4 linked regions of the Lonchura striata genome follow. The protein of the gene in region 4 binds, or shares a complex with, the protein of the main gene of each other region. Links are inferred from orthologs where the notes say so. Each region holds a gene or a part of one and is shown on either strand. Other genes may lie near its edges. The genes, in order: ARPC2, ARPC5, ARPC1B and ACTR2.

Region 1 (7,227 bases), on a different chromosome or scaffold from region 4:
CTTTTAAACTTAACAAACTTTTGTGTACTCATTTCGTGTCCAATAGCAACACATGGGGACTGTCCACAAAACCAAATTAAATTTGAAATTACCCTATTTACAGGTGGATGCTGCCAAGCCCCAAGGACCTTGTTCAGGGAGTACTCTTAGAGGTGGGTTAGGCCCTGTCTCAAGTGCTGATCTCTGTCTGCAGTCCTGCTGAGGTACCTTTCACACTGGGAAATCCAGGGACAGTTGATGGACCTCTATGCAGAACAGATCTTGACATATATGACAATAATAGCAGTTAATGAATTCCATCTTCTAAATGTGACCTTGTTCTGTATGACAAGGTGAAATGTGGAGTGTCTCCCACCTGATAGCCCAGGAAAGCTCTGCAGGAACCTGTCAAACTATGGCTGCACTGCAGTAGAAGGGAGCGACACAGCCCATGTCACAGGACAAGTATCTGGCAAAGGATCTGGAAAAGAACCCTGCCCTGCCCCATTTTCAGGCTGGTGCTGAAGCTACAAGGCACACCTGGCTCTGAGACAACCACTATTGACAAATCCTGCATTGCATCTGCTGCACTTCTGGTTTAGAGCAAATAATGTAAACCCAGCTCTGCCCCAGTGTCCAGATTCACTCCTCCCAGTCACCAAATTCTTCAAGGTTTGACCTTGCCCTGACTGTCCTGTGTTCAGCCCCAAGATACACCTTGGAAAATCATCATCAAAATAGCAAAATACAGGCAATCCCTTCCTACCTCCAGGCTGAGCACCACAGGAATAACCCCAGAGCTGTGGCCATAGGAAAAAGAAATATCACTTGAATAAATGTTTTGTAACATCTATTCCTTAGAAGACCTGAAAGCAGGAGAAACGTTCCTGCACGTGCCTGGATGGGGGAGCCCAGAACAAGCATGAAGAAAATTCAGAAGTAAATGTCTTCCTCACCATCAGCAACACACTTAAGGCACAAAACTTATCTAGAAACGCCATCTAAAGAACAGAATATGCCATAGATGACTAAAAGGCAGAAGGAGAACACCATCAGCCACCCTACTAATTGATTCGGGAACAGTCAGTATGTCAGGCACACGTGCCCACACACCAGTGAGGTGGCTTTGCCATGCAGCAAAATGGAAATGTCAGGGGCCTGCAGGCTGCTGCAGGGCAAGCAAGTGCAGCTCTGCTCAGAGAGTCAGAGTTTTGGGGTGCATCTAGACCTGCAAGCTGCCCCTCCACGTCAGATCAACACAGGGACACACACACGTTCTTCTCTCTGCATCAGGAAGAGTGGCTTGGCACAGACTAGTGATTGACACGCGGTTCTGACACTCACTGTGAACCTCTGTGCATGCCATATTTTCTAATGGATGTGGCTGCAATACCACAGAGGTCATCTGGGAGCTCTCTCTGCCCAGTGCTGTGCCTGTACTCTGGGGAAACTTGTTGCATTAAATGATCAGGGCTCAAGACAAATCAAAATCTGGGAGAAGCTCAGCAGTCCTCCAAGGCAGAGCAGCCTGCATAATTATTTTATGGAAAAAAAAAGCCCCACCAAAACAAAACACAAATCTGATCAGCAAGTCAACTGAGAGTGGAAGGAAAGCAAACTAAGTGGCCTCTGACAACGTTCTGCACATAAAAGGATGAGAGCTTCAAAAATTGCTGGAGAAAAAGTAACACAGAAAAAGGCACCTGCCCGGGAGGGTCCTTTCCTGGAGCAGCCTGAGCCCTGCCTTGTGAGGTGCCAGGGCAGGCTCCACCCCAGAGATAACACCACTGTGCTCTGCCTCTCAAGGTTTTGTCTGTGTACAAAGGTGTCTCAGGCAGCAGGCAGCAAGTGCATCCAGCCCACAGGCCACTCGGTTGCAGATAAGGACATTCATTCTTAAGGGACTTCCTTCCAAGCTAAGCTGTGTCCTCACAAGCATCTTTACAGCCCTGGTGCAACACTCACAGTAAAAAAAAACACGGGCTCCCCATGGACTGAGATGTTCCAGCTGGAGATGTGGGTGTGAACAAGACCCCCAGGCTGCTCCCCAAGGCCAGGACACCCACCAGGCTGGCACCAGCAGCCATGGCTGACCTGTGCGCCTCTATCCCTTCTGCTCAAAAAAGCTAAGAGGGAGCAAACTGAAATTTGCTCTTCACCCCAAAGCAAAAGGCTGAGGCCATGACTCCATACACAGGCTTCCTGTTCGTCGCCTCCCCCTACACATTCTGTACCAGCGCTGGCAGCACGCTGATGAAGGCCACTTTACCCTGCAAATCCACCTTCCTCCCTTTCCAACTTCCTCCTTCTCCACCCCTGTCCTCCAGTCCACCTCAGCACGGCAATCTCCGGCACCCTTCCCAGACCCGTCCTGCTCCCCCGGGGCTCCCCATTGCTCTGGCACTAGCGACCCCATCCAGCTCCACTCTCCCCTCCGACACTGCCCTGTCCCACTCTGCTCCCTCATTCCCCAGCTTTCCCTCTGCCCAAGCTCTATCCGTCCCGCAGCTCAGCTCCCGCACACTGACCACCCCCCTCCCAGCCTCTGCATCCCGCAGGCTCCCACCCCGTGCCCGCTCTGCCCTCCTCGTTCCCGGGCCGCCCCCCGGTAGCACACTGCCCGCGGGCTCAGTGCCGCTCCCCAGCCCCGCATCCTGCCTTGTCACCTTCCGCCCCGCTCAGCCCCATCCTGTCCCGGCACCACCCGCCGGGCTCTGCTCCGTGCCCGGGTGCCCGGCACGGCCCGGGCCCCGCCAGCCACCGCCCCCTCGCCCCTCCCTCTCTCCGCGGACCCGTCCCCGCCCCGCCCCGGCTCCCCTGCTCCTACCCGGCGGCCGCGCCCTCGAACTTGAGCGTGAGGGTCTCCTCGATGATGCGGTTGTTGACCTCGAGCAGGATCATGTCGGTGCCGGGAGCGGCTCTGAGGGAGCCGAGCCCGCTGCGCGCACCGGGGACCCGCCCGAGCCTGCGCCGCCGCTTCCGCTCTCGCGCCCGCGCGTCACTTCCGGCCCGGCGCCGCCGCCCCGCCCTCGCCGCGCCCACCCGCGATGACGTCACGCGCGGCGGGCGGGCAATGGGGGCGGCCCTTGAGGGCGGGGCGAGGCGATGGGGAGGCTGCTCGGGCACGGGCACCGGCACCGCCGCCAGCCGTGTGAGGCCGGGCGTGGGGCTGAGCCTGCGCTCTGGAAACCCCCCGCAATGTGAGGGTCCCCCCCTCCACACCCCGTTAATTGAATACTCACAGTGCTGGAGGTCCCCGGAACAGTGGAATGCCCTTAGGATCATAGGGACGCTCGAGGAAGTAGTAGGTGTGCCCCAGTGTATGGGGGTCTTACAGGGGAAAATGGTATCTTGTAAAATATATAATTTCAGAGCTACAGGGCCCCAAAAATGTGAGGTGGCACAGGGAGTGGGAGTATCCTAGGGGGGCTGTAAATGGTGCCCTGGATCTTGGGGTTGCCCAAAACTGAGGAGGTGTTCCCACAGAGAATAGGAGTGTCCTTGAGTCTGTGGTGATGCCCAAGGGATATGATGAAGGGATATGATGATGGCACTTACCAGGTGCCCCAAAAACGTGAGGTAGCCCTATGGCTGACAAGCATGGAAAGCTGTGAGGATGGCGGTGCTCAAGGGGTTTGTGAGTGCCCCAGAGTAATGGAGGTGCATGGGGAATGCTCTTGTGTGTAGTTCTCCCCTAAAAGCAGAAGGGATACTCGGAGCCACAGCATTCGCTAAGTCTGCAGGGCTGGCACAGTCTGGCACAGCGGCACGGCTCTGTCTGATGGCATTGATGGCATGGCTTGACTTGGCTTAGCTTGGCAAGGCACAGCCAGGGCAGGAGGGACATAGGACTCTACTCTGGGGGGGTCCCCCACAGCAACCCCCAATGGAGGGCAAGCCAGTCTTGCAGTCCCCGTGTGCATCCCCTAAATGCTGACACCACCTACCGCTCTATCAATGGGGAAACTGAGGCACAGAGCCCTGCATTGCCATCACCCACTGACCATGGCCTCAGAGAGCTCTGCTCTCCTGGGGGGACCGCAGCACACAGGGGTGCCTTGAAGGGGATCCCCTCATCCACTGGAGACCTGGGGACAAATTGGAGACCCCCAGCTGGTGACCCCCGGGGTGCATCATCACAGGAATGACAATGACCCCCTGGGTGCACCCCCAGTGCAGCGTGGCCTGGGACATCTTGGGACAGGAGGCTGACAGGGGTCTGCGGGCTTCCCTTGGACTGGGAAAGGCATCTGTGAGGACCACAGAAGGGTCCCTTTGGCTGCCACTTCCTCTTCATTCTGGGAGAAGATTTTGCAACATTTCCTCCCCGGGCAGTATAAAGTGGGTGGCGGAGGAAAGGGGTACTGGGAGGCGGCACAGCAGCAGGCACAGGTGAGGATCCTCTGGCTGGTGAGACCCCTGGGTCTGGTGCTGCCCTGCATCCCACCACACTTTGAGCCCTTTTGGGGTGACATCTGGATTTAAACTCATACTTGTGTGCTTCCCAGTGAGAAACAGCTTGGGATCAAGAGAAGACTCCACATTTGAGGGGACGGCAACAGCAGCAAGCAGTGAGTCCATGGGGTGCACCACTGGAGATTGTGGCTTTCCTTGGGCTTTGACAGCCCCACATCACTCATCTGAGCCCCTTCACATGTGGAGCAGCCTGGGAGCTGGGGTGGGTTGGTCCAGCTGCCCAAGAGGCTGCTTGGTAGAGGGAGATGGTGGGTGAGAGCAACCAAGGCTGTGCTGTGGGATCATCTGGGGTGCAATCCCTCCATAGTCCCCAGGGACATCAGCCTTGGGTGCCATTGGGAAAAATACCTGCTCCCATTTCCTTGCACAGCGATGAGCTAGGAGGATCCTTCCCCATGGCATGTCCCCACTGGGAGCCCCAGGCCCCCCACATTGTGCCCCAGCCCTGCCAGGGTCAGGAGGGGAAATGGAGTGCTGCTTGTTCCCCTCATCTGGGCCAGCTGTGGGGATCTATCTGTGTGTGTTATACCTGGGGAATACCCATTTCCAGAGGAACCACCAGAATTTTGGAGTGGGGAAGCAGAAAGCAGCAGCCAGAAATAGATGGAGGGGAAGCACTTGCATCAGGCTCTGCCCCATGCCTGGGGAGCTCCACTTGGGAGGACATTCCCCCATCAGCACTGGCAGCATGCCTGGTTGCATTTCTCCGGGATGCTGATGTTTCCATATCCCAGCATCACCACCCTGGGGTCACCATCCCAGGATTTCCATCCCTGGATCACTGCAAGAGAGGATACAGCAGAGCCAGGGAGAGAGTGGCACCAGCCCAGCTGCGGCAGGGGATTCAAATCAGGCAAAGGGAAAAGTTGGTTCTAGGAATGGTTTGTGTTCAAACAGGGCCAGTTTGGAGGTGGGTAGCAGCACCCCAAGCAGTCCTGGCATCTCCAAGCCCTGGAGGGGTTGCGGGCTCAGAAATGGGACCAAGGGGTGAAACTGGAGTGGAACAAGAGTCCAGATCCATTCTGGGAGAAGACTGAAAGCCTGTGGTCTTTGGGGAGGCAGGACCAGAGCAAGCTCACCGTCTCCTATGTGTGAGGAGACAGGAAAAGCAACTGCCACCTGTGATTTCCCCATTTTGGCCAAGCACGGGGGTACACAGCAGTGCCCAGCTGAGCAACAGGAAAACCAGAGATGTAACATTTCCAAAGCTGCCTGCAAAGTGTGACATGTCTTTCCGCCTGGGGTGTGAAACCACTCCCGCAGGAGCAAGACCAGGAGGTGAAAGAAGGACACAAAAACACCTTCAGACCTTCTTGAGTGCTGCCTGCCCCAGCCACCATGACCACAGCCTTGCTGCTGGCTGACATGGCAGGAGGGGCAGCTCCGTTCCAGGCATCACAGCAGCAATGCTTGAGGGGGTGGAGAGGCTGGAGGGATACAGGGATACTTGAAGAACTTTGGAGGTGTGTGAGGGGCTCTGACATGCCCAAAGAGCTTAGAGGCTTTTGAAGGAAGCAGGATAGCCCAGGGTTTCTGGAGGAGCCAGATGTCTCCTGGAGGGATGTGATGCTACATTGATGGAGAAGCCCCCAAACTCTGAAGAGGTGATCAGTCTATGGGGGAACCTTTTCTTCCACAAGAGTCAGGAAATGGACAGGACTGGGGTGAAATGCAGGAGAATGAGGCATGCAGGGGGTGTTTTACAAGGGGGTATATGAGGAACAGTGTCTACCTGCATACTGACCATTACCTGGCACAGTGTGGAATGCTGTGTCCTCCATCACAGTGATGAAGGACAGCTGCCCACTGGCTGGGAGAGTACCTGGGGGCCAACAGAAATGCCAGAGGATCCAGAGATACTGTCACCCCTGGTCCACAGCACTACCACCCCATGCTCATGCCATTTTGTGCTCCACAGGCAAAATGGAGCCCTTGTCCTACAGTGGAGATTTCTCCAACCTCTTCTTCTTTTACAACTACACCTATGACTACAGCACAGCCATGCCTGACACTGCTATCTCATCCTCTCCGTGCCGGCCTGAAAACTCTGCCCTCAACAAGTACCTGGTGGTGGTGATCTACTGCCTCGTCTTCATCCTCAGTGTGGTGGGGAATGGGCTGGTGGTGCTGGTGGTGACCTCCACCCACACCAGCCGCTCCGTCACCGACGTCTACCTGCTCAACCTGGCCGTGGCAGACCTGCTCTTTGCTTTGACCCTGCCGCTTTGGGCAGCCTACCGAGCCCACGAGTGGGTCTTTGGCACTGTGATGTGCAAAGCCATCTCTGTGCTGCAGGAAGCCAACTTCTACAGCGGCATCCTTCTGCTGGCCTGCATTAGTGTGGACCGCTACCTGGCCATTGTCTATGCCACACGGGCTGCCACTGAGAAGAGGCACTGGGTGAAGTTTGTCTGCTTGGGCATCTGGGTCTTCTCCATACTGCTCTCCCTGCCCGTGCTGCTCTTCCGTGAGGCTTTCCGCTCTCCCAACAATGGCACCGTGTGCTATGAGCGCATCAGTGGCGAGGACACGGCCAAGTGGCGGGTAGTGCTGCGGATCCTGCCGCAGACATTCGGCTTTGCCTTGCCCCTCCTGGTGATGCTCTTCTGTTATGGTGTCACCATCCATACCCTCCTGCAGACCAAAAATGCTCAGAAGCAGCGGGCCATGAAGGTCATCTTTGCTGTGGTGCTGGTCTTCCTCATCTGCTGGCTGCCCTACAACATCACCCTAGTGAGCGACACCCTCATGAGGACGCGGGCCATTGCTGAG
Region 2 (7,502 bases), on a different chromosome or scaffold from region 4:
GTCTCACCAGCCAGGAAGGGAGTTTTGGCCAGGCTCAGGGCCTGGGCACTGTGGCAGGAGCTGTCCCCATGCACGCACCTTCTCGTGCCACTGCAGCAGCACAGCACTGCTGTTGTCAGAGGGGCTCTCAAAGCCCTTGTAGATGTATTTCATGAGCAGGTCCACCCCGTTCTTGTCCAGAGACTGCACCGCCTTCTCAATGTCGTTGGCTTTGAAGGAGATGAGCACCTTCAGCACGATGCTCTCAGCACGATCCTGTCAACAGGCAGGCACAGACACAACCATCCTGGTGAGAGGCACAGCCAAACTGCATTTTTTTCTTTAACACCTCTGAAGAGGACAGTGTGTGAAGAGCTTGTCATAGAAAGATTAATAGACACATCCTCTCAAGGATAAACAAGGTAAAAGAGTTTAACACATTCGCCCTCCTTTAGTTTTTATGCCTCTGTGAGTGTTTGCAATTCTCCGCCCCTTAATTATAGCTAAATAGTAAATGTTCATTTGGAAGCTCAAGATGTATCAAGTTCCAAAATAATTATAACAATCAAGTGCTTATCTGGCCCCTCTTCCCACTAGAGCCTTTTCCATACCTCTGTACTGTTTAACGTGACACAACCATTATGATCCAGGGAAATGCCATTGGAAGAGGTGACTGCTGGAAGCCACGTGCTTTCCAAGCAGTCCCAGGCACACTGGATGCAGACTGGCCATTAATATTAAGAATTAATAACGTTTGATCTGGATGTCATTTCAGGCCTGGGAATGTGTGAGGTGAGCTTACAGCAGCAATTAGCCATGCAATCAGCAAGGAGCAGCTCCTCCTGTTCATCCATCACTAACTGAGGCAGGATGAGAGAAAAATGTCTCGGGGTTGCTGGACGTTTGAATAATTCCATCGTACAAACATGTCAGGCACCTTCCCCCTACAGAAACTGTGGATGTCACTTTTCCTGCCCAATTTAATAATACTCCATAATCACTTGCTTTAGCAAGACTTCTCACATGACTGTAAGTAAAATTATTTAAGTTCCAAAGATAACCAAAAATTAATACAGGTATTAATGTTCAGTCATTCTACCCTCTTCAATTCCACCACCAAATGTATTCTTAAATCCTTCAATAGAGGGCTAATGGAAACAAGTCATTAATGTGAGGACAAAGCTATACAGCTCTATTTGTAACAGCTGGTTCTCAGAGCTCTGTAAAACCCTTCAGGAAAGGGCTGGGGCTGCAGGAACAGCTCTGCCAGGAACCATGGAGCAGGGAGCCATGCCCCTGGGCCTCTCCTTGGGCACGGAGAAGTAACTGCAGGCACTCACCAGCTGGGCACTGCCATATCTTATCAGCCTGTTCCTCCTACCACTGCAATCATGAGCTATTCAGGATCCATCCTGGGGATGTTCAGAAATGCACATACCCAGCAGACTCCCACACTATCACAGGGGGAGGACTTGCTTTTCCTGAGGTTTAACAGCTTCATTTTGATTGGATGTGACAAAAAACAATTCTTCCTTTTTTGTAGGCTCACTGCTGGTGGTTTCATTAGTCAGAGGTGACAACTGCAACCCTGGCTCCCTGAGCACACAAGGATTACATCTGTGAGCTGCCATGTGTGGTCTGAGGCAGACACAGGCACATGATGACACCTGGGCACACAAAACACAAACAGCACTGGCAGGAGAACCACACCTGATCCAGCACCAAGGTAAAGGTACGTGGACAGTACTGTACCTGAGCTACAGTATTTTGAACAAGATTAAAACACTTGTGGTCATGGATGTTTCACCCTAAATTCTGCTCCTCTTGCCTCCTCAAGGTACAACTAGTGGCACAGAAGTAACAGAGACAGGAAAGGATTTTTAGGGAGTAACCCATGAGCGAGCAGTTGCTATTTTACCTTCACTGCCTGGTTCTTTGTGTTGATGGGAGGGTTCTTCAGAGCTGCCTGCAGTGCAGCCATCATGTTCCCTGTGCCAGATGGTTAAGGACCAGACACCAAATACACGGACATCAAGTACCAGGACAGCTATATTTGTAGCTGGCTTGTGCATGACTGAAAACACTCTGATGCAGGGATTCCCTCACCAGCTAAGAAGACATTACAGCCTAAGACAGCAATTTTCAGGCCATTTGAGGCAGGAGCAGCATCAACAAGCAGCTGTATAGTTCCGGGACTGCTGAATACTTCCTAGGCCATTCCCTGAATGAGTAATAGAAACCATTCTCCATCACTTCTGCAATCTGTAGCCCCCGAGAACAGATCTCAGCTTGTCACATCCAGCCCCAGCAGCCACTGGGACAGCAGCCCAGGGAAAAGTGACCAAGGGCCAGCTGGGCGAGGCAGCCCTGGCAGCGGGCACGGGAACTCTTTGGGCACAGGAACGCCCTGTCTGCATCCCCGGGACACCGCCCTGAGCGCGGCCCCGGGGCACTGCGGCTGCTGCGGGCAGGGGAGGAAGCTGGGCCGCCTTCCTGCTGCTAGCCCCTTCCCCTGCCAGCCCCTTCCCCTTCAGCCCCTTCCCCTTCAGCCTCTTCCCCTTCAGCCTCTTCCCCTTCAGCCTCTTCCCCTTCAGCCTCTTCCCCTTCAGCCTCTTCCTGCTGCCAGACTCTTCCTGCTGTCAGCCCCTTCCCCCTTCAGCATCCTCCCTTGTCCTTCCATCCCCTTCCCCGCCTGTCCCTTCCCCTCCAGTCCGCTCCCCTCCATCCCCATCCCCTCCAGCCCTCTCCGCCCATCTCTCCCTGCCCACCGGTGCCGCTCACGCTGTTCCCCTACAAGGCCGCCCCGGCGGCGGCCGCGCCCGCTCCGCCCCCGCCGCTCCCCTCAGGATATTGTCGCAGGCACGAGTCCACCTCGCCCTCATCAGGCCCCGCTTGCCCGTCGCCGCCGTCCTCCTCATCCACGAACTTGTTCTCGTCGTACTCGTCCACGTCCACCCGGCGGAACCGCGCCGAGGACACCGTGTGCTTCGCCATGGCCGCGCCCGCCCCGCGCAGCCGCGGCCGGCCCGGCCCGCCCCGCCCGGCGGCGCCGGCGCAGCGAGCGCGGCCCCGGCCGGGGAGCCGGGGGGACCCGAGGGCGCGGCCCGCCCAGCCTGCTCCGGCTCCCACCACCTTGGCCTTGGATACTTGAGGCAGCCACGGCTTCTTTGGCACTCTGTGCCAGGGCCTCACTCGCGGGGAACAGCTTCTTCCCAATAGCCAGGCTAAACTTATTCTCCTTCAGTTTGAAGTTTCACAGGTTCACAGAGTATTCCGAGTTGGAAAAGACCCCCAAGCATCACTGAATCCAGTTCTTAAGTAAATGGCCCATACCGGAGTTGAAGCCACAACCTTGATGTTACTGTCACCGTGCTCTGACTGACTCTGAAGCCATTCCTGCTTGTTCTGTCACTCCAGACCCTTGTAAATAGTGTATCCTCGGGATTCCCAACAGCTCCTCCAGGTACTGCAAGGTCACAGTGAGGTCACCCCAAAGCTGCTCCAGGCTGCACAATCCCATCTCTCCCATCCTTTCCTCCCTCCCTGTGACCATGCTGTGCCTCCCCTGGGCTCTTCCAGCAGCTCCAGCTCCTCCTGTGCTGGGGCAGCTCTGCAGGTGGGGTCTCAGCTGAGCACGGGGCACAGGGGCAGAATCCCCCTCCCCTGCTGCCCACGCTGGGGCTCAGCCCAGGGCAGGGGGTTCAGGGCTGGGGCAGCTCCAGCTCTCACCCTCAGCACCCCCAAATCCTCCCAGGGCTGCTCCATCTGCTTGCCCCCTCCCCGGACTGATCCTGGGAGTTGCCCCGACCCAGGTGCAGCAGCAGCACTTGGCCTTGTTAAATTCCATGAGATTCCCACGAGCCTCTTCCCAAGCTTGTCTGGGTCCCTCTGTCCACCCCAGGACAGCGCCAGGCTGGGCAGGACCCGTGTAGCTTCAAGTGAGGTGGGAGCTGCCCTGCTTGGATTGCTCAGGGAGCTCCTACTCCAACAGCACCTAGTGACCTTGAGAGTTAAAAAATAGCCACAGCCTGTAATTTTTTAAAGTTACACTTAGCCTCTGTAGATAATAATTACCCTATTATTAATTAGGAAATGACACAGCTTTGTGAGGTTCCTCTTAAGAGAAAACAACAGCCCTGGAAGAAAAAATACACACACACACACACACACACACACACATATAGATACACATATTACACCCACCACTAACCCCTGTAATTTATTCCTGTATCAGCCCTACCTGCAGGACCACCCACCTCCTTGATAGAGGAGGAATTTAGGATATGTCCCATGTTCCCCAAAGTTGCCTCAGCTTGGGAAGCTGCAGTCCAGTTGGAACTGTGGCTGTAGCTTGGGACTGCTGGCATTTTTCTGCTGGAAATTGGCTTAAGGGCAGCAAAGTAATTGCAGGAGGTAAATAGACTGTCAGAGAGTCACAGCATGGTTTGTGTTGGAAGGGACCTTAAAGGTCATGTAGTTCCAACTGCCTGCCATGGGCAGGGAGTACTGAGGTTCAGGGTTTACTGCCCTGGCTTAAGAGGTTGAGGATTAAAACCAAAGTATGTTCATAATCCATTATTTAAGACCCACAGTTATTCCATGGATTAAATTTGGCTGGAGGGGACTTTATTGGTGTTTTTTGCCATCTGTGATCTCAGTTTCACACCAAAAAGTGGGTGGATCTCTGCCATCCTCAGAGCAGGCGTGTGCCACAGGGAAACGCTTCCGAATGAGGACTTCCACTGAATTATTCCTTTGGCATTTTTGAATGCCTTACTATATTTCTGCATCTTGGCTATAAGCTGTTCCTTCTGAGAGGGCAGAAATGCACCTGGGAAAAGCCCTCCTTGTCTTGGAGACATCAGAGGAAGCAGAATGTCTTCCAAGGCTGGGAAAGGCTGTTGGGAGGCTGGGTGACAGAGGAAAAGGCTTTTAAATTCTGCTGTCCAGCTGAGTTCCCCTGCTTTCCTTGGGGAAAAGCTGTCCTAAAAGATGTTTTAATTCCTGTTAAGTTAATTTGATGTCAGTTTTGTGTACCTGCTGGCAGAGCTGGGTGACGAGGGGCTGCCCCCATGATGGCACACACAAAGTGTGTTATACATAAGAAATAGTGGACAGTCTCTTCAAATAGCTGCTGAAACTTGTAGCAGCATATGGAAACTTGGTTGATGACACAGAGAACAAAACTCTTGGAGCCTGGAGGCATTATTCACAAAACAGACTTTTTGCTAAAAATAAAGAGTAAAATTTTCCCTTATACCCTATAGAGGAAAAACTGTACAATAGAAACAGCCACACTTTTTAGAATTGTTACAGGTGATTCCATGATTCAATCTGGCAAAAAAAACAAAAACATGCAAAAAGAACTTAAAAAGGTGTCATTACCAGGTCCAGCTCAGGGTAATAGCAAATATTTATCTGATTTCCTTCAGTGGCTTTTAAAGTTTCCACTTTAGGGCTGTTACAATCTTTGCAAATTCTGTGGTGCAGAAGAAGGTTCCTCCCTGGTCTGGGCAGTTCCATGCAGCAGGATCTTTCCCAGTGCAAAGGCTTGGCCCTGTTTGAGATGGTGGCAGCAGGCAGGTTCTTTTAGATGTTTCCAGGTGCCAGTTTCTGGGAGATGGGAAGGCAAACAGAATTTGCCTTTGTGGGGCCAGGCATCTGTGGGAGTTGAATGTCTGTTCTGTGCCTGTCAATATTATTTTTTAATTTCTCAAGTGATACTATAGCCCTCTTTTATTAGTGAAGTTTTGCTACAATATTGTTATAGCTGAAATCTGGGTGTTCTAAGGAATGTCCAACTGAGATTCTTTCTAAATGATTTGTGTGTTTATCTAGTGTGCCAGCTGGACAGAAGACTCCTGTTGTACTTCTGCACCAAGGTTTTCCCTTTCTTCGGAAGTTTGTGTTCCCGTCCCTGAGGCTTTAATTCCAGGAAGCAGTGGGTCATTCTGTGAGTAAGCTCAGTCATGCTTTGTACCAGGGTGCCAGAGGAGGGAAAACACAAATTTTGTGTGGGTGAACAGCTATTGGCTCAAGCAGGAAATTATTTGTCTTCACTGCTGCTCTCATTGCCCCTCATCATTCTTGGATCTTCATAATTCTTTTGCTGCTCCACTGTAAAACATAGCCATCTGCACATTTTATCACAGCTCACTTTTGCATACCACCGTTTTGCCCTCTGTATTTAACTTTTTCCTTAAATTCATAATTTTTAAAATTTGCTTTGCTTTCCACTCTGACTCTATAGTAACTTCTGTGTATTGTCCTCATATATTTTCATGTATGTATGTGCTGTAGTTCCTTCCTGATCCAGACCACTGTGCTGTTCTCATTCAGATTTCTCCTAAAGATTGGCTTCCTGACATGAGGAGTGGTCCATTTGTCGTTTCTGGTGTTTCTGCACATTTTGGATGGTCAGCCGTGCTCTGTTGTGTGCAGTGCAATGTCACCCTGGCAGTGCCGTGCCCCGGGAAATAGAAAATGCCGTTGCTCCCTGGCATAAAGGAGGGCAGGTGCGGAGAAAGGAGTGTTTTCCTTTGCAGAGGGGTGTCAGGAGAGGGTGTCACCCCCGCCACTTCTCCTGCAGGCTGCCAGTGCTAAAGACAACTGAGAAAGCTGCGAGTGTGGGATAAGGTTCCCATTCCTGCTGTCCCTGCTGGTGTTCCTGCAGAGTTGGGATGGCCGCATGATGGCAATGTCGCACCTCAGGGATGCGTGTTGTTTTTCGGATGGAGCCGTTTGCTTCTCCAGCTCTGTTTAAGTGTTTCTAGAGCTTTTCAACCAGAGGCACCGGACATTTTACATCTCCCCCCGAAACCTGCCTCTTTATCTTTGGTTGGTGCTTCGTCCTGGTCAAAACCCGTCAAATTTTCAATCTCCTCAATCAACAGTATCACATCCTTACAGGATGGGAGTCAAATCCCAAACTACCTCTTTGGATGGGTTAATTGGAAGAGTGTTCCCACAACCAAAGTGCATTTCTGGACGTGCAGCATTAGCATCAGCCTTTGGCTCCTTTGCCAATGCTGTTCCTCTCCATGAGCCACCATTCTGATACAGGAGATGGTGTCTGTTGGATCCCTAGGAGCTCAAAATGAGTGTTAACAGATCCATATTTATCTCTCTCTATCTATCCAATTATACTTAAAATTATAGTTCTATCTCTGCCCCTCCCAACTATATTTGGAGGGGACTGGGATATAATTATAACTTTTAGAAATTATTTAACTTTTTGCTAAAATGCCTGTCTGGGGCAGAGGGCAGGAATGACTGATTAGTGCCCCATGACATGGCACAAATGTTCACAGGAGGAACTGGAGAGGAATGTTTTATCCAGTGAAAACCACAGGGAGAAGAGTCCCTAATGACTCTGTCTGGAAGTGAGCCAGGATCCAAGACATATGTTCTGCACCTAGGGAAAAACACCCTAATGATCAGGGCTGGGATTTTCTTTTTCTTTATTCAAATATTAGGTAAATTCTGGTATCTCTCCAGGCTAAAAAGCATGCAGAAATTCTGAT
Region 3 (6,936 bases), on a different chromosome or scaffold from region 4:
TTCCCTAGGGTGTGGTCCCATGGGGCTGGTGGGATGAGACAGGACAGGATGGGCTAGGATGGGATGGAACAGGACGGCTGGGGGTGCACAGCTCCCAAACCCAGCCCCATCCTGCCTGCCCGGCGCTCGGGCCGCAGCAGAGAAAGCCCTTTTTGTTCTCCGCATCCCCCGGGCCGCGCTCGGGAAATGCCATCGCCCCTGAATCACCCGGCCCCGCTCCCTCCCTCCCTCCCCTGCCGGTGCCTCGGGGCTGGACGCTGTGCCAGGCTCTGTCCCGGCACCGGGGGGACACAGGGGGATGTGCTGTCCCAGCCCCCAAATCTGCCAGATTTGCTTCCCAAATCCAGCCCCAAGCCAGCTCTGCCCCGCCCCGGAGCATCGCCCGCCTCGGGGGTGTTGAGCCAGGACAGTGCCCGGGGATGTCCTCGGGAATTGCGGGGTGCCCCGGGCGTACTCACGGGTGCGGTCCTTGTTCCAGGCATGGCAGCTGATGGGCTCCAGCAGGAAGCTGTGGTAGGCCATGGCTCACGGGCTGGGGACAGGGAGAGACCCCCAGAATGTCAGGACACAGGGACAAGACCCCAGCCCCACAGAATGATCCTTCCCACTGGCATCAGTCCTGTGCTGCAGCCCACCATGTCTCTCCTCCGCCGGGGAGAGGGTTCTCCTGAGGATTTCCAAGCTCAGAAACTGTCCATTTCCAGGATTTTCTAAACCAAACTGGCTGGAACTTGCTGGGCAGGAGCTGGCTGGGCACACAGGGACCCTGGTGCCAGCAGCCCCCTGTGCACCCCTGGGGTCTCACCAGGGGCAGCACCTCCTCTCCCCACCCCAACAGGGCCAGATCCACCCCCTCCTTCCACACCTCTCATTTAGGAAGAGCCAAAGCCCCATGGAGGCCCTTCCATCCCATCAGTGCTCAGCCCTCAGGACCGATCCCTTCTCCTGGCTGAGCTCCCACCATTCCTGCCGGTCCCCAGCTGCCATGGGATGGAGCAGTTTGCCAAAAAAACCCCTCCAAGTGCCACGGCAGCGGGAAGGGCTGGGAGCAGCGTCACAGCCCCTCGGCCATCCGGCCCGGGGAGCGCAGGGATGTAGGGAAACACCTCGCCAGGGCGCGGCTGATGACGGGAATTACTCACAGCCTGCTCTCGGCTATTTTGGGAACTCCTTGAACACGTCCCGTTTTCTTTGGCAACTAAAAACGTTACAGGGGAAAGGAAAAAAGTCCCTCTTAGCAAAGCTCCATCCCTGGGCTGGGGAAACGAAAATCTGCAGAGCTCCATCAGCTGCCTTCTGCATGTGGAGAAATTCCAGTGCTGTCACACAGCCCCTGGCCAAGGACGTGGGCAGGGATGAGGAGGCAGCTGCCGATCCCCCTGGGATGCAGCCCGGGGTGTCCCAAGGAGGGCACAAAGCTGCTGCCACCACGGGCCTCGCCCCCGAGCCCTGCGGATGGAGCAGCACCACGAGGGACGGACAAAACCATCAGCGACATTGCAGGAGATCAGGAGAGGAAAAAGGGATTTGGCCGAAATGGCTCAAAGGGCTCCCTACAGGAGGGATGGGAGGCAGGACCGAGGTGCGTTCTGGCTTCGACACGAAGAAAACAGCAATGCTTTTTCTTTTTCCAGGTGGTTTGGGAGCTCAGAGGCATAAACTCTCCTCCCTGGGGTCCCTGCTGCTCCCTTCTGAGTGCCACCCCGAAGGGACGAGCTCAGCCGCCGTGCCAGGACGGAAGTTTTTGCCAGACACAAAAGGAGCAGTGGGTGGTGTTTTGTTTCCCCCACGGCCCCTTAGAGCCAGTTCCCCATGGGTTCCCCATGGCTGAGTCCTGCCCCCGCCCTGCAGTGACCCTCGGGGGCTCGGCAGCCTCTTCCCCAGCCGGGAAGAGCATCCAGGAGCTGTGGTTACATCCCTCTCCCACCCCCCTCCCCAACCCAGGGGCTCTTGAGGGAGGAAAATGGGAATTTTCCGAAGGCCAGACAGGGCGGGACTGGGAGCTGGAACAGCTCCGTTATCTCCCCGGCCAGTCCAAGCAGCTCGGAAACATCCTGGGAGGAGATAACCAAACCTTGGCAGAGCCGAGAGACTGCCGGGGGCTCCTCCCAGTCCCGGGAGGAAGCCGCACACCGGAGGAGCTGGGGTTTGGGTTTTTACGAGCCTGGCGGGGTGGTGGGAGGAGGGTTCGCACCCAGTGAGGATCCCGCTGGGAGCTGGGACCCCCTGAAACTCTCCCCGGACGCTGTGGTGGAGCCCTGCACCACCAAGACCCCAACACCGACCCCCGGGAGCCGCTCTGCTCCCTGCGGCAGCCGAAGGTGTCACCGCCCGGCTCCTGCCAGCCAGGCTGGGGACTCCCATCCCCAGAGCCCCGTGCTGGTGCCCCGGGAGCCAGCCTGGCCTGAGGGGACACCCCGAGCCAGGGCAGGCGGAGGGCGGCTCTGACCCTCCTCTTCCTCGCACGGGCAAAGCGGGAAGCAGCTGATGCCGAGGAGGGGAGGACAGATTGCGGCAGCTCAGTCTCTGCCGGCACCAACCCCGAGGGGACCCCCACAGGACGACTCTTTCCACCCCCTCAGAGCTGTCAGACCTCCGGCAAGAGAAAAAAAAAAAAAAAAAAAAAAAAAAAAAAAAAAAAAAAAAAAAAAAAAAACCCAACCCAAAAAAAACAACCCTGAAACTTGCTGACAAAGCTGGGAGAAAAGCCCAAAACACCCAAAACGCGGCGACAGCGAAACTCGCAGGGGGCAAGGGGCTGCCTGCACCCCCTGACCCCAGCCCGGGGGGACCCCCCGAACCCTCGGGCGGGCTGTGAGCGCCAGGAGCGGTGACAGCCACAGCCCCACGGGACAGCGGCGGCAGAGCCCGTCCTTACCTTGCCGGGCAGGGCGGGCTGGGCTCCGTTCCTGGCCGGCGGGGCTCGTTCATGGACTCTGGGCAGTCGACACGAACGGAGCCCGGAGCGAGCGGCGGGAGCTGTGCCTGCCCCGCCGAGGCAGCCCGACTTCCCTTTTCCTCTCCGAGAAATGCAACCACTTCCTTACGTGGGCGTTGGGGGAGCGCCGAGCCGCCCAGCCCCTGTGCCTGCGGGCCGGGCCGCTCGGCACCGCCGCACCGGGACGCGCCCCGGCCCCGCGATGCTCCCGGTGCGACGTGGGCAGCTCGCCCGGGTGCTCCAGGGAAGGACACAGCCAGGAGAACAGAAGGGAAGGGTCCCCGCCGTCTCCCTGTGCCAGCGGGTGTTGTTCACCCCCGAGGGATGGGGACTCCCCGATGCTTGCGCTGGCCCCCACCGGGGAGCAGCCGAGCTTGGAGCCCACCCGGGGAGAGACGCTGGTCGGCATCGCCTCCCACGGCCGGGGAGATCCGCAGGAGCCCGCGGAGCCCGATCTGGCCGCCCTCGGCAGCAGCTGCTGCTGGTTCCTGCATCTCACAGAGCCCAGTGGGACCCAGTGCCAGGCTGGCCGCGGTCACCATGCCTGTGTCCCCACGCAGCAGACATCCAGCCCTCTGGTTTTATCACCTCCTGCTTCAGAGCAGCTAGTTTTTATCCCATTCCCGCCTGGATGCACTCAGGCCTTCCCTCCTGGGCATAGGGATGCACTCACTCATCCCCTTTCCCTCTGCTACGCCCCAGGTTCTCTGACTGCAAGAAATGAAACACTTGCTATTTTATGTTTAGAAGGGAGAGGAAATTGTAAAGCCAAGCCCGACTGCCAGGGGAGAAGGTGGGAGACATAAGGAAACCAGAGAAGGATCCAGTTCTGTGATGGAGAACAGTGGCTGCCACTCAGAGCTGACCTTGCACAGCAACAGAGCTGAGAAACGAGCAGGGTATGAAGCAACTTTGGTTCCAGAGGAAGTGGTAAATTTAGTCATTGGGGTTTTTTAAAGACACTTCTGCATTTTCGGCAGAATTGACAGTTTTAAGCTTTGTAAAGCAATGCCATGAGCCAGCTAATCCCCTCAGAGCACAGCAAGGCAGCAGCACCGGGAGGAATACACCCTGTGAATAAAGCTGTGTCCAAATGCCTCCGTGAGCTCCTGAGGCTCCAAGCTGAACTGCAAAAGGTACCTGGGGACAAAGGATCAGCACAGAAGCCAGACCACACCAACACCTCTGGTTGCAGCTTCATTTGCCCACTAGTTGTCATAAATACAGGATTTTATGGGTTGAGAGCTCAGCTCTAACAGGTCACAGAATCCCAGAACCACTGAGGGTAGGAAAAACTTCCAAGTTCAGTAAGTCCAACCTGTGACCAATCTCCACCTTGCCAACCAGCTCAGAGCATCGAGTGCTACATCCAGTCATTCCTTGAACACCTCCAGGGATGGTGATTCCCCAGCCTTGAAGTTTCACAGACTTACCAAGAGATTTGCTTTTAATTTGTCTTCCCCAGACGAGGCTCAGCAGATATTTGTCTCACTTTCCACACAGAGCTTTCCATATTGTCCCACAGGCACTGCCCTGGGAGCAGGCTGGAGACCAATCCCAAAGGCAACCACAGATAATTCTGGTCACTCACCTTTGGAAAAATGTCACTCGCTAAGCAGACAACAAAAAAGACATTCAGATTAATTTGCTGTTGCTATGGATTAAATGCAAGGCAGAGAGAATGAAGAGAAGTAGGATAAAATCATTCATTCTCCAAAATTGTCACCTCAAGGGAAGAATTCTCCTGGAAGAAGCTCATCTGAATCTTCACATCCAGATCACCAGAACTCCAGGTCTGTCAACTTTAGAACCTTTCAGTTCAGATGAACTTCTGCTTTAAGGCCATAAAATATCAGTGCAGGGTTTTCCCCACTCTGTCTCTCTCCCAATTCCCTTAACATCCCTTTTTTAATCAACAAACTTCAAAACAAAGAATCAGTTTTTCTCTTTTTTATTATTATTATTTCTAGCAGACAATTTACATAAAATTCCCCTTTTAAGTTAGTGATTCATAACTTCCTGCAATAAACTACTTAAGGAGCAGCTTTGGTAAAGAATGGAATGAAACAACCAACCAAAAAAAAAAAAAAAAAAAAAGAACAATCACAGCTGATTTTGAAACCAACACAATTCACCAAATTTAGATTCAAAAGAAAAACTGCCAAGCTGTATTTTCTCAGTGTTTCCAAATATTTCACCTTCCTCCTCCCTTTTCAGGTTTGTGCAGATGTGGGAGCTGCATTCTGTCAAGCAGTTTGTCCTGCTAGATCATGGAAATCCATCTTTACATGATTCGTAGCCCTTGGATGGAGGACTCTAAAGTCTTGAAGGAGAGAAAAAAAATCTTAATTACAATCTGCTGTTGTAGCTTGGGCTAAATTAATTCAGTGTAAATGCTAAAAAAAACAAGCAAAAAACATGAATATTTGAAATTAGATTCAGTCATAGAATCCGAGAATGGTTTGGGATCAAAGCTCATCTCATTCAAGCCCCTGCCATGGCAGGGACGCCTTCCACATTCCCAGGTTGCTCCAAGCCCTGTCCAGCCTTGTCTTGGATACTTCCAGGGATCCAGGGGCAGCCACAGTTTCTCTGGGTAACCTGTGCCAGGGCCTCACCACTCTCACAGGGAAGAATTTCTCCTTTAAGTAAAGGATTTCTTCCTAATGCAAGAGGCCAGAGACCACAACAGTTGTTCCTTTCAAACTCAGGCAGGTACCAGCGACACAGACCCAAAACTGCACTAAAGCAGCCTAGAGATCACTTCAACTTCTTGTATGACTCCTGTCCCCACCAGAGCATCCTGGCACCATAGAACACAATCTGTTCTTTCCCTAAATCACATCCCACATCCCAGATCTGGGAAGGCCAACAGGGACCTCTGTTGGCCAGGCCTGAGTAAAGCAAGCATGGGCATTAATACATCCTTTAAGGATTTTCAATATTGCATTTTCCAGCTGTTAGAGACAACTTCTTACTCCTTGGGTAAGTCAGTTCTGAGAGGACAGGACCATGTTCTGCAGCAGGACAATGAGCAGAGTCCCATGGGATGGGAGAAGGGAGAGGCAGGGGGCTGTGTTGTACAAATTGCTCCAGCTCAGTTGTGGCTGAGGCTGGAAAATGAAAGAATTAAGGGGATTCCTACAGGGACATTAAGTAATTCTATTAAAAAAATAAGTCTGTATTAGCACCATCTGCTTAACAAACTGCATCTGCATTTCTGCAGATTCTTGGATCAGTTTTTCTTATGGATTTCACTAATGGTTTTGAATATTCCAGTCTGGATTTCCTGCTGCTACTAAAACCTGGCTTGAGGCTGAGCCCCAGGAGTTGATACTAGAGATTAAAAAAAAAAAATCCACCACCCCAGCTAGTTCACATAAACATGGTAGTAAAAGCACATTTTTACCTTAAAATCCCAGATGGTCATTGCTCCATCGATGCCGGTGGTGCAGAATTTCCGACAATCCCGTTTGTCAATCTCATAAATAGACACTTGGCTGCAAACACAGAGTGAGAGCTCCAACACCCATTCCAGAGAGCCAGAAATCTGGGAAATTTGGGTTGAATTCCACTCCTACTCTTTGGCTGGAGACATGACTATACCAGAGCCTATACCAGATTCTTGGTAGAATGCCTCAGAAAAATAAGCCAAGAAAAAGATGCTGAAAGCTCTTTAATGGCTTGGTGAGACAAAACGTTTTCCTTGAATAAAGAGAAATTGCTCCACATCCCTGCAGATCACATAATTTTTTTAATGCAAAGATATTTTACCCAATTAACCTGAATGAATCTTTTTGATTAACAGAATTGTTGAATGGTCTGGGGTGGAAGGGACCTTAAAACTCATCCAGTCCCACTCCCTACTGTGGGCAGGGACACTTTCCACTGTCCCAGGTTTCTCCAACCTGGCCTCAAAAGCTTCCATGGATGGGACAGCCACAGCTTCTCTGGGCAGCCTGTGCCAAGGGCCTCCCCACCCTCACAGAGAAGGATTT
Region 4 (7,600 bases):
AACAGACTTTGGACTCTCTTAGATTTTTTGAAGCGGTACAGGAAATATAAGATACAGGAAATCCTTCAAAATCTTCAAGTAAATGAACAGCAGTAATCTGGAACAGATTCTCTTTTCTAAGGCCCAACATGAAACACTCACTGCTCTGCCACTCTCAGTTTGAAACACTCTAATTCAAGTTCAGTGCACTTGTTTCTCTTCCACCTCTTGCCAAGCACACCCCTCACAGCAATTATTGAATTACAATGCTCATGTTTCCAAAAAGAACACAAGCACTCCATGAATTCACCTATTTCTGCAAGAACTTCATCATCATTTGTTTTTGCACACATTTGCTATACATTCAGAATGTTCTAAGAACAGCTATTTAGCCTGCCTGTGTGCAAGACCATGTATGTAATTTTTACCATATATAGTTTCTTCCCCATTTCACTGTGGTTTATACGGAGTCTTTCACTTCCTACTGAGTCATCAAACACCAAGAACTTGCATGTATAAGTGTTCTTTCAAACTAAAAGAATGAGGAAGCTTGCAAACGGGTCACGTGACTGGTTTTAAAATGAATAATAATACTCTTATCAGATCTCCCTGCTTGATCCTTTCCACTGATGCAACACTCAAACAAAAACCCTAAACACAGTTACAACAATTGTACAGGCCAGTGAGTAACTTTCTGCTTGGCCTCTAACAATAAGAGCATCCACCTCTAACGCTGCAGACCTTTGAGGTGCCATTGCCTGCCTCCCACACTATGTGTTGCAAGAACTTCCTTCGAGCCACTCACCTCTTCCTCAAAGACTGGCTGCAGCCTGATGCATCAGGAGTCCTACTGCAGCCTAACAAGAACAGCAAATTGCAAAGACGAGCCTAACGTTAAAAATTCACCCGTTTTTCCAAAGATATTCTCCATTTTTTACCTATAAGTTTTCCGACACATGGAGAGCGATTTCATTTCAATCATGCTTTTAAGTGTGAGATATCAGAAATAATGCTAAACATTTCTTGTCACATAGGCAAAATATTATTATCAAAATAGTGGCTTGACAATACAGAACTACTTGATACCTCGACATGCAATTGAGACTCAAAAATTTTACTGAATGGAATTTTTGTGCAGATTAGTTATCCCAATCCTTGTCCAATTATCCCAAATCAATCTGAACATTTTGAGTTGACTCATTTAACAATTAAAACACTCTTTCACTCTACTCTCCCACCCAAGGAGTTCTGTGGCTTCCAGGCACACATTGTTCTGCCCAAAAACCCAGCACAACCCAAAACCACACAGGCTGAAATGACACAGGCTCCTCTTGCACCATAAAGACACCTTCCACTCCTGTGGTTATTTATATCCTGCTGGTCCAACTCATCGAGGGAAAAACTGTATGGATCCAAGATGTGTCTGGAATTAACAGCATGCACAGATACCCCAGGCTGTAAAGAAATGTGTGTGGCACACCCAGCTTGGGAAATCTGGTTGGAAAAATTGCTTTTACCCTCTGTGTCACACCTGAGACCAGCCAAGGCACAACACTGCTGTCACCAGCAATACACTCAACATTTTACAACTCAGTGATTATTGCCATATAAAGGACCACACCAATGGATGAAGCTCTGAATTTTTTGTTTTGGTTTTTTTTTTTTTTTTTTTTTACTCTGGGCCTCGCAATAGGAAGATTAAAGAAAAAAGAACAATAAAAGAAGTCAAACAAACAAACAAACCGTAAAGCAGCTTCCATATCCTTTTGTAACAAGAAAATGCTATCTCCTTTTCTTTCCTTTCTCTAAATTATAGTGTAAAAAGTGCCCAAAGGCTCTGAATTCTAACCCTATCAAAGATAGCTTTTGCTATATGAGGGTTAATGAAGACATCATCACTGTCAAACCCCGAAACTGTCAAATATGATGTTCTTCTTCCTGAACCATTCTAACAATTTCAGATGCTAACTGAAAAACCCCCTAATTTAGGATGCTGAATCTGTAATAAAATAATCCTTTGTCTCAAATATTCTTTACTAGGCTTATTAAAAAAAGAAAAAAAAGTCTTTTTTGCAAGTGTTCATATAAAAAAAAAACCCTTGTTTTTTTTTGCCATTCAAGAGATCTTAATGCACCACCAATCGAGGTAACTCTGCACATAATATTGCTTTACTGGGGGAAACCTAGACTGCTAAAAGAAATTACCGAGGGGAAATAACCACCGATAGCATCTGATCTCCTCCTGCTTTAAAATGGTATCTTTTTCACTTCCTGCCAAGGTGCTTCACAGCCTGACAAAAGGATGGATTTTCCAGCGGTGCCTGCACGCTTATGGAGGCCAGGAAAGGTGGAAAGGATGGGGAGAAAACCTTTCATTTAGAAAATGCCGATTATGGGAGGTACGCGGCAGATCGGAGAGGCACGGAGGAAAGGATGATGCTCTTAAAAAAAAAAATAAATAAAATAAAATAAAATAACCAAACACATTTCCCTCAAGTAATAATCCTGCAGACACAGGACGCATCCTGACTGCCCAACGCATAATGCGCTGATTCAGAATTTTTAAAAATCGCCGTTTTTGTCTGAAGGCGCGCTGCTGAGGGGACCGGCCCAGGTCACGCAGGGGAATCGGGACCGCCGAGGGCCGGGGCCGGGCACCGCAGGGCCCGGGGAGCACGGGCACACCGGGCCGAGGGCCCATCGCCCATTCATTCCGCGGGGACGGCGGCCGGGCCGGGCGGGCGGTGCCGGCAGGAAGCCGGGCCGGCTCCGGTGGGGGAGCGCCACCCGCCTTCCCCTTCCCCTTCCCCTCCGCCCCGGCGGCAGGGCGGCTCCCGGCGCCGCCCGCGCGCACTCACCCCGGTGCCGTTGTCGCACACCACCACCTTCCTGCCCAGCGTGTCCATCGCCGCCCACACCGCCGAACGCGGCTCCGCACCGGCAGCCCCGACACGACACCGAGCGCGACAGCGGCACCGCCCCGAGCTCCGCCGGGCCCCCCGCGCGCCGCCCGCCCGCCGGAAGCCGTCAGCGCGCGCCGCCCGCCCCGCCCGCCGCCCGCTCCGCCCCCGTTGCCGGGGCGGCGGCGGCGGCAGCGGGGCACGGGCGGTGCGGCGGCCCGGAACCGAGCCCCCGAGTCACCCCGAGCCCCCCGAGCCACCCCGAGCCCCCCGAGCCCCCCGAGCCCCCCCAGCCTGCCGGCTCGCCTCCCTGCGCCCGCCTCCCACCCGTGCGGAGGTGGGGGTCGCCTGAGGGGCCGCCCGCCTTCCCCCCTCACGCCGCCCTGCCTGCTCTGCCTGCCCGCGCGGGGCGAAATCAGCCCCGAAAAGCTTCTGTTTGCCGGGGATGCTGTGTCCATTCGGCATCTCCCGAGCTTCTGCTCCTCCCACAGGCCTTGCCCAGGTTCGCCCGGCGAACAGTTTGCATTTGTGTGATGGGTTCTGAGTGAAGGAAAAGATAAAGTGTGATCTGGCTCCTCTCTGGCAGCTCCATATTTGTAAAGGATAAGCGTGACCTCCTGCATTGTCTCTGGCAGCCTCAATATTTGTTTATTGTGTTGCCCCAAATTCCACAAGAAGTCAGGAGCAACCCCAGGTTTTTCCCTCCATGCCACGAACTGTGTCGGTCCCCTATGAACAGCAGCCTGTTCCAATTGGGTATTAGATGCCAATATTTGTTTATTTTGTTGCCCCAAATTCCACAAGAAGTCAGGAGCAACCCCAGGTTTTTCCCTCCATGCCATGAGCTGTGTCGGTCCCCTATGAACAGCAGCCTGTTCCAATTGGGTATTAGATGCCAATATTTGTTTATTGTGTTGCCCCAAATTCCACTGACTTCCACAAGAAGTCAGGAGCAAACCCCAGGTTTTTCCATCTGTGCCATGAGCTGTGTCGGTCCCCTATGAACAGCAGCCTGTTCCAATTGGGTATTAGATGCCAATATTTGTTTATTGTGTTGCCCCAAATTCCACTGACTTCCACAAGAAGTCAGGAGCAAACCCCAGGTTTTTCCATCTGTGCCATGAGCTGTGTCGGTCCCCTATGAACAGCAGCCTGTTCCAATTGGGTATTAGATGCCAATATTTGTTTATTGTGTTGCCCCAAATTCCACTGACTTCCACAAGAAGTCAGGAGCAAACTCCAGGTTTTTCCCTCCATGCCACGAACTGTGTCGGTCCCCTATAAACAGCAGCCTGTTCCAATTGGGTATTAGATGCCAATATTTGTTTATTGTGTTGCCCCAAATTCCACTGACTTCCACAAGAAGTCAGGAGCAAACCCCAGGTTTTTCCATCTGTGCCATGAGCTGTGTCGGTCCCCTATGAACAGCAGCCTGTTCCAATTGGGTATTAGATGCCAATATTTGTTTATTGTGTTGCCCCAAATTCCACTGACTTCCACAAGAAGTCAGGAGCAAACTCCAGTTTTTTCCATCCATGCCATGAGCTGTGTCGGTCCCCTATGAACAGCAGCCTGTTCCAATTGGGTATCACACAATATAACCTCTGGTATAGTTAAGAGAGTTACATGTTGTGTGGAAAATCACGCTGTGAAAGGCCAGTGTCTGCAAAGGAGACAGAGGAGCCCTGCAAAAATCAACTTTATTCGAATCAAGGTAGAGAGCCATGCCCCTGTGGAGTTTCAACTTTCCCCGGGTACAGCCTTCCCAAACTGTCCCCTACACATTCCCCCCTGAACGTGTGTCCCTCCCTCATTGTGCACTGCATGACCATTAAAATTAAAATTAACCATTAGCCCACCCCGGGAGGAGAAATTAATACTCATAAGTCTATTAGCTCTCTGCATTTTCCCCCAAAGTTCAGAAGTTCAGGCTGTGCTTTGCTCTGCAACAAATGCAGGGCTTGATGTAGGTAAAGACCCCCACGCCCATTCTTCCAGAGCCTTGCAGGTCCTTTCAGATCAAATCTTTTGTAAAGACTTTAAACCCATTTCTTCTATCACATATGAATAGATACACATGTTTATGGTTGTCATTTTTTTTCTACCTTTAATTTTACAGAACAGTGAGAACAATGAGAAATTTTATAAATACCAGAATATAGGCCATAATATTTGACTTTTTTAAACTTTAATCACATCCAGATATTGAGGATGAGGAAACAAATACCTTGTAGGACGAAGAGGCTGTGGGAACAAACAGGGACTGATCCAGTGGCATGCAGCTGTGATGGAAGGACATCCTGGTCACTCTGCACAGCTTTACCTGGGTACAATTGCTTTCTAATATACATAAGATTAATGATCTCATTTTAATCTGCTTTTCAGAGCATGGCACAATTTACATTGCTCCTTGAAGCCAGATGTGTAAAGCAATTGCCTTAAAAGCCTGCTCTTTGTCCAGAAAAATGAATTAATCTGTATGTTTTAAACCCCTCAGCTTGTTGAACCTAGCATAGAGGGCTCACTGGGGGAACTACACCGTTTCCTACTCTGCTGATGGACTTGCTGAGTAATTCTGACCAGCCTGTGCCTCAGACCCACGAAGCTGGATTTGGTACCATGCCACCTCATACTAATGCTCGTGTATAAAGCATCTGCAATCTCTCAGTGAGAAATGTTTCATTTTGGGTTCAAATTATTTGTCAGACAGAATGTTTCAGCTGTGCCTTCTCATGCACAGTGGTGGCAACATTTACTCTGCTCCAAGGCAAGCTATGTTTTAATGTGGCAGCAATGAAGCAAAAAAGAAGCAAACTTTCTTCCTAACTTTCCTGAGATTAGATATTCAGTAGATCCTTAAATATAACATTCAACCCCTTTTTAATAATGTTTTGTAGCTTTTATCAGAAGAGCATTTTCCTGCCAGGAATTTAGGCTATCAGTTAAAGAAAACTATGACAAAGGGTTAGTTTGATAATTGCCATCAGAATTTAAAGTATAATCAAAGTCTCAATAAATAGTGATATTGAAGTCTAGCAAATAGAAACGGTTAATTTGCTGTTTATAGCCCAGCATGAAGATTTAATATGAAAGGGATACAGGTCTGTACCAGAAGTACCAGAACTTATATCCTTCATGATACAGTCAATAAATTCACCACTGTTCTTACTACCAACTGTTGTTGCTGTTAGCTGCTGGATAGCTGTCAAAGATTTTTGCATTTTTTTAAATGTCATGTACAATGCAGGAGAGGAAATATAATGTGGTTTGAACAGACATCTCTTTTAAAACTTTATTTTACTGATTTAGCTGGACTGAGATATTACTTCTTGTTTTAAAGATTTTTTTTTTTTTTTTAAAGCAGTGTCAGTAGGAAGAAAAGCCATGGAGAGAACTAACCACAGTTTCCTAAGAGCCCTAAGCTGTGACTTCTGTGAGTGAGCAAGATGTCATGATAGAGGATAATAAAAGTATGATGACTAAGCAGAGTGCCGAAGCTTATCAGAGAAAGTACTACCTCTCTCTTATAATGAGTTTGATAGACCTTTATGAACTTGCCAATTAAGTGCTCTGTGCTTAACCTAATAGTGCAGGCATACAAAGAGAGGCAGGAAATACCCAGAATTAAAAGGGAAAATGAGTTATTGCAACAGCTGTCCTATAGCTCTGCTGGGTATAGAAGAGAAAGGAGGGTATAGTGATATCTTGCTTGCAGCAAAGCAAACAGTGTGTTCCTCAGCCCCACCTCCACTCCCCACAGAGCCAGGGCTCTCCCAGTATATGGAATTTGGACCTGGAAACTCTGGCTGGCTGGAGAAACTGAGGCCAGTTCATTCCTATGCTGATGAGGCTGGTTCCAGTGCTGTATTGCCAGGGCAGGAGAAAGACATTCTACCTGAAAACCAGCATTAACCTTTTCAATAATCTGTTTGGTGCTTATTGAGCCATTTTACCTTTGTCTTGGATTTATTTCATTACTTTACCAAAATAGAAGGCTAGAAATATTCACAGAAAGTGTCCCCTGACTAAACACTGATCGTTTTCTGGATTTATCAAACTGTGGATGTAACAAGTTAAAAACAGTCTGGATACTTCTGAATAGATCATGGTTTAAAGGGCAGAAAAGCCCTCAGCAGACACACCTTCAAAACCGTGACTACCTCATTAGCATTAAGGGACTCTGACCTTCAGCAGATCCTCAATATCTCACTTTCCTGCTTACCAAAGCCAACCAGGCTCAGGTGCCAGAGGCAGTGTGGCCGTGGGGGCCAAAGCAGGATCATTTTCCTGCTAAGAAAAGACAATTTGGTTGTCAAACTGCACCAGCCCAGGAGTGCTGAGCAGGCCTGGATTTCTGTGAAGGACAAAAGGGTCTGGATTCTCCTCCCTATAAGCACCACCCATTCTGAGTCATCTGAGCTGGAAGTACTGGCATAATTGCAAAACATCTTCACACAGATGGTATGATCCGGTGTAGCTTACATGAGGATTCTTGAGTGCGCTATTTGGCTGTCATTAAAATACTATGAGGAGAGGTTTTTATTGTTGGGTATTTTTCACAAACATTTCTTCACAGGTCAGAGAAAATGCTGTTTTTTTTAACATCACAAGGGTGTGGAGTATGAACTTTTATTTTTGTTGGCTCATTTCCAGATAAACATAAGAACACATTGTAAAGGTCACTTTGTGTTTTAAATTCAACAAAAATTCCATTTTATGTA

The links.
Region 1: ACTR2 (region 4) and ARPC2 share a complex: the UniProt entries of both Homo sapiens proteins name them as parts of the arp2/3 complex. The link is inferred for Lonchura striata from reciprocal best matches to the Homo sapiens genes ACTR2 and ARPC2.
Region 2: ACTR2 (region 4) and ARPC5 share a complex: the UniProt entries of both Homo sapiens proteins name them as parts of the arp2/3 complex. The link is inferred for Lonchura striata from reciprocal best matches to the Homo sapiens genes ACTR2 and ARPC5.
Region 3: ACTR2 (region 4) and ARPC1B share a complex: the UniProt entries of both Homo sapiens proteins name them as parts of the arp2/3 complex. The link is inferred for Lonchura striata from reciprocal best matches to the Homo sapiens genes ACTR2 and ARPC1B.

Annotation. Positions count from the first base shown.
Region 1 is NC_134610.1:15,528,710-15,535,936, reverse strand, and holds the start of ARPC2 (actin-related protein 2/3 complex subunit 2), read right to left. Parts: upstream 3,001-7,227; 5' UTR 2,881-3,000; coding exon 2,807-2,880; intron 1-2,806. Other genes in the region: C-X-C chemokine receptor type 2, read left to right, coding at 6,379-7,227. UniProt on the Homo sapiens protein: Actin-binding component of the Arp2/3 complex, a multiprotein complex that mediates actin polymerization upon stimulation by nucleation-promoting factor (NPF).
Region 2 is NC_134611.1:27,704,147-27,711,648, forward strand, and holds the start of ARPC5 (actin-related protein 2/3 complex subunit 5), read right to left. Parts: upstream 3,012-7,502; 5' UTR 2,974-3,011; coding exon 2,830-2,973; intron 1,970-2,829; coding exon 1,898-1,969; intron 256-1,897; coding exon 79-255; intron 1-78. UniProt on the Homo sapiens protein: Component of the Arp2/3 complex, a multiprotein complex that mediates actin polymerization upon stimulation by nucleation-promoting factor (NPF).
Region 3 is NC_134618.1:14,900,263-14,907,198, reverse strand, and holds the start of ARPC1B (actin-related protein 2/3 complex subunit 1B), read right to left. Parts: upstream 3,001-6,936; 5' UTR 2,879-3,000; intron 1,180-2,878; exon of another isoform or gene 1,143-1,179; intron 533-1,142; 5' UTR 523-532; coding exon 459-522; intron 1-458. Other genes in the region: ARPC1A (actin-related protein 2/3 complex subunit 1A), read right to left, coding at 5,223-5,261, 6,348-6,438. UniProt on the Homo sapiens protein: Component of the Arp2/3 complex, a multiprotein complex that mediates actin polymerization upon stimulation by nucleation-promoting factor (NPF).
Region 4 is NC_134605.1:1,568,882-1,576,481, reverse strand, and holds the start of ACTR2 (actin-related protein 2), read right to left. Parts: upstream 3,001-7,600; 5' UTR 2,886-3,000; coding exon 2,838-2,885; intron 1-2,837. UniProt on the Homo sapiens protein: ATP-binding component of the Arp2/3 complex, a multiprotein complex that mediates actin polymerization upon stimulation by nucleation-promoting factor (NPF).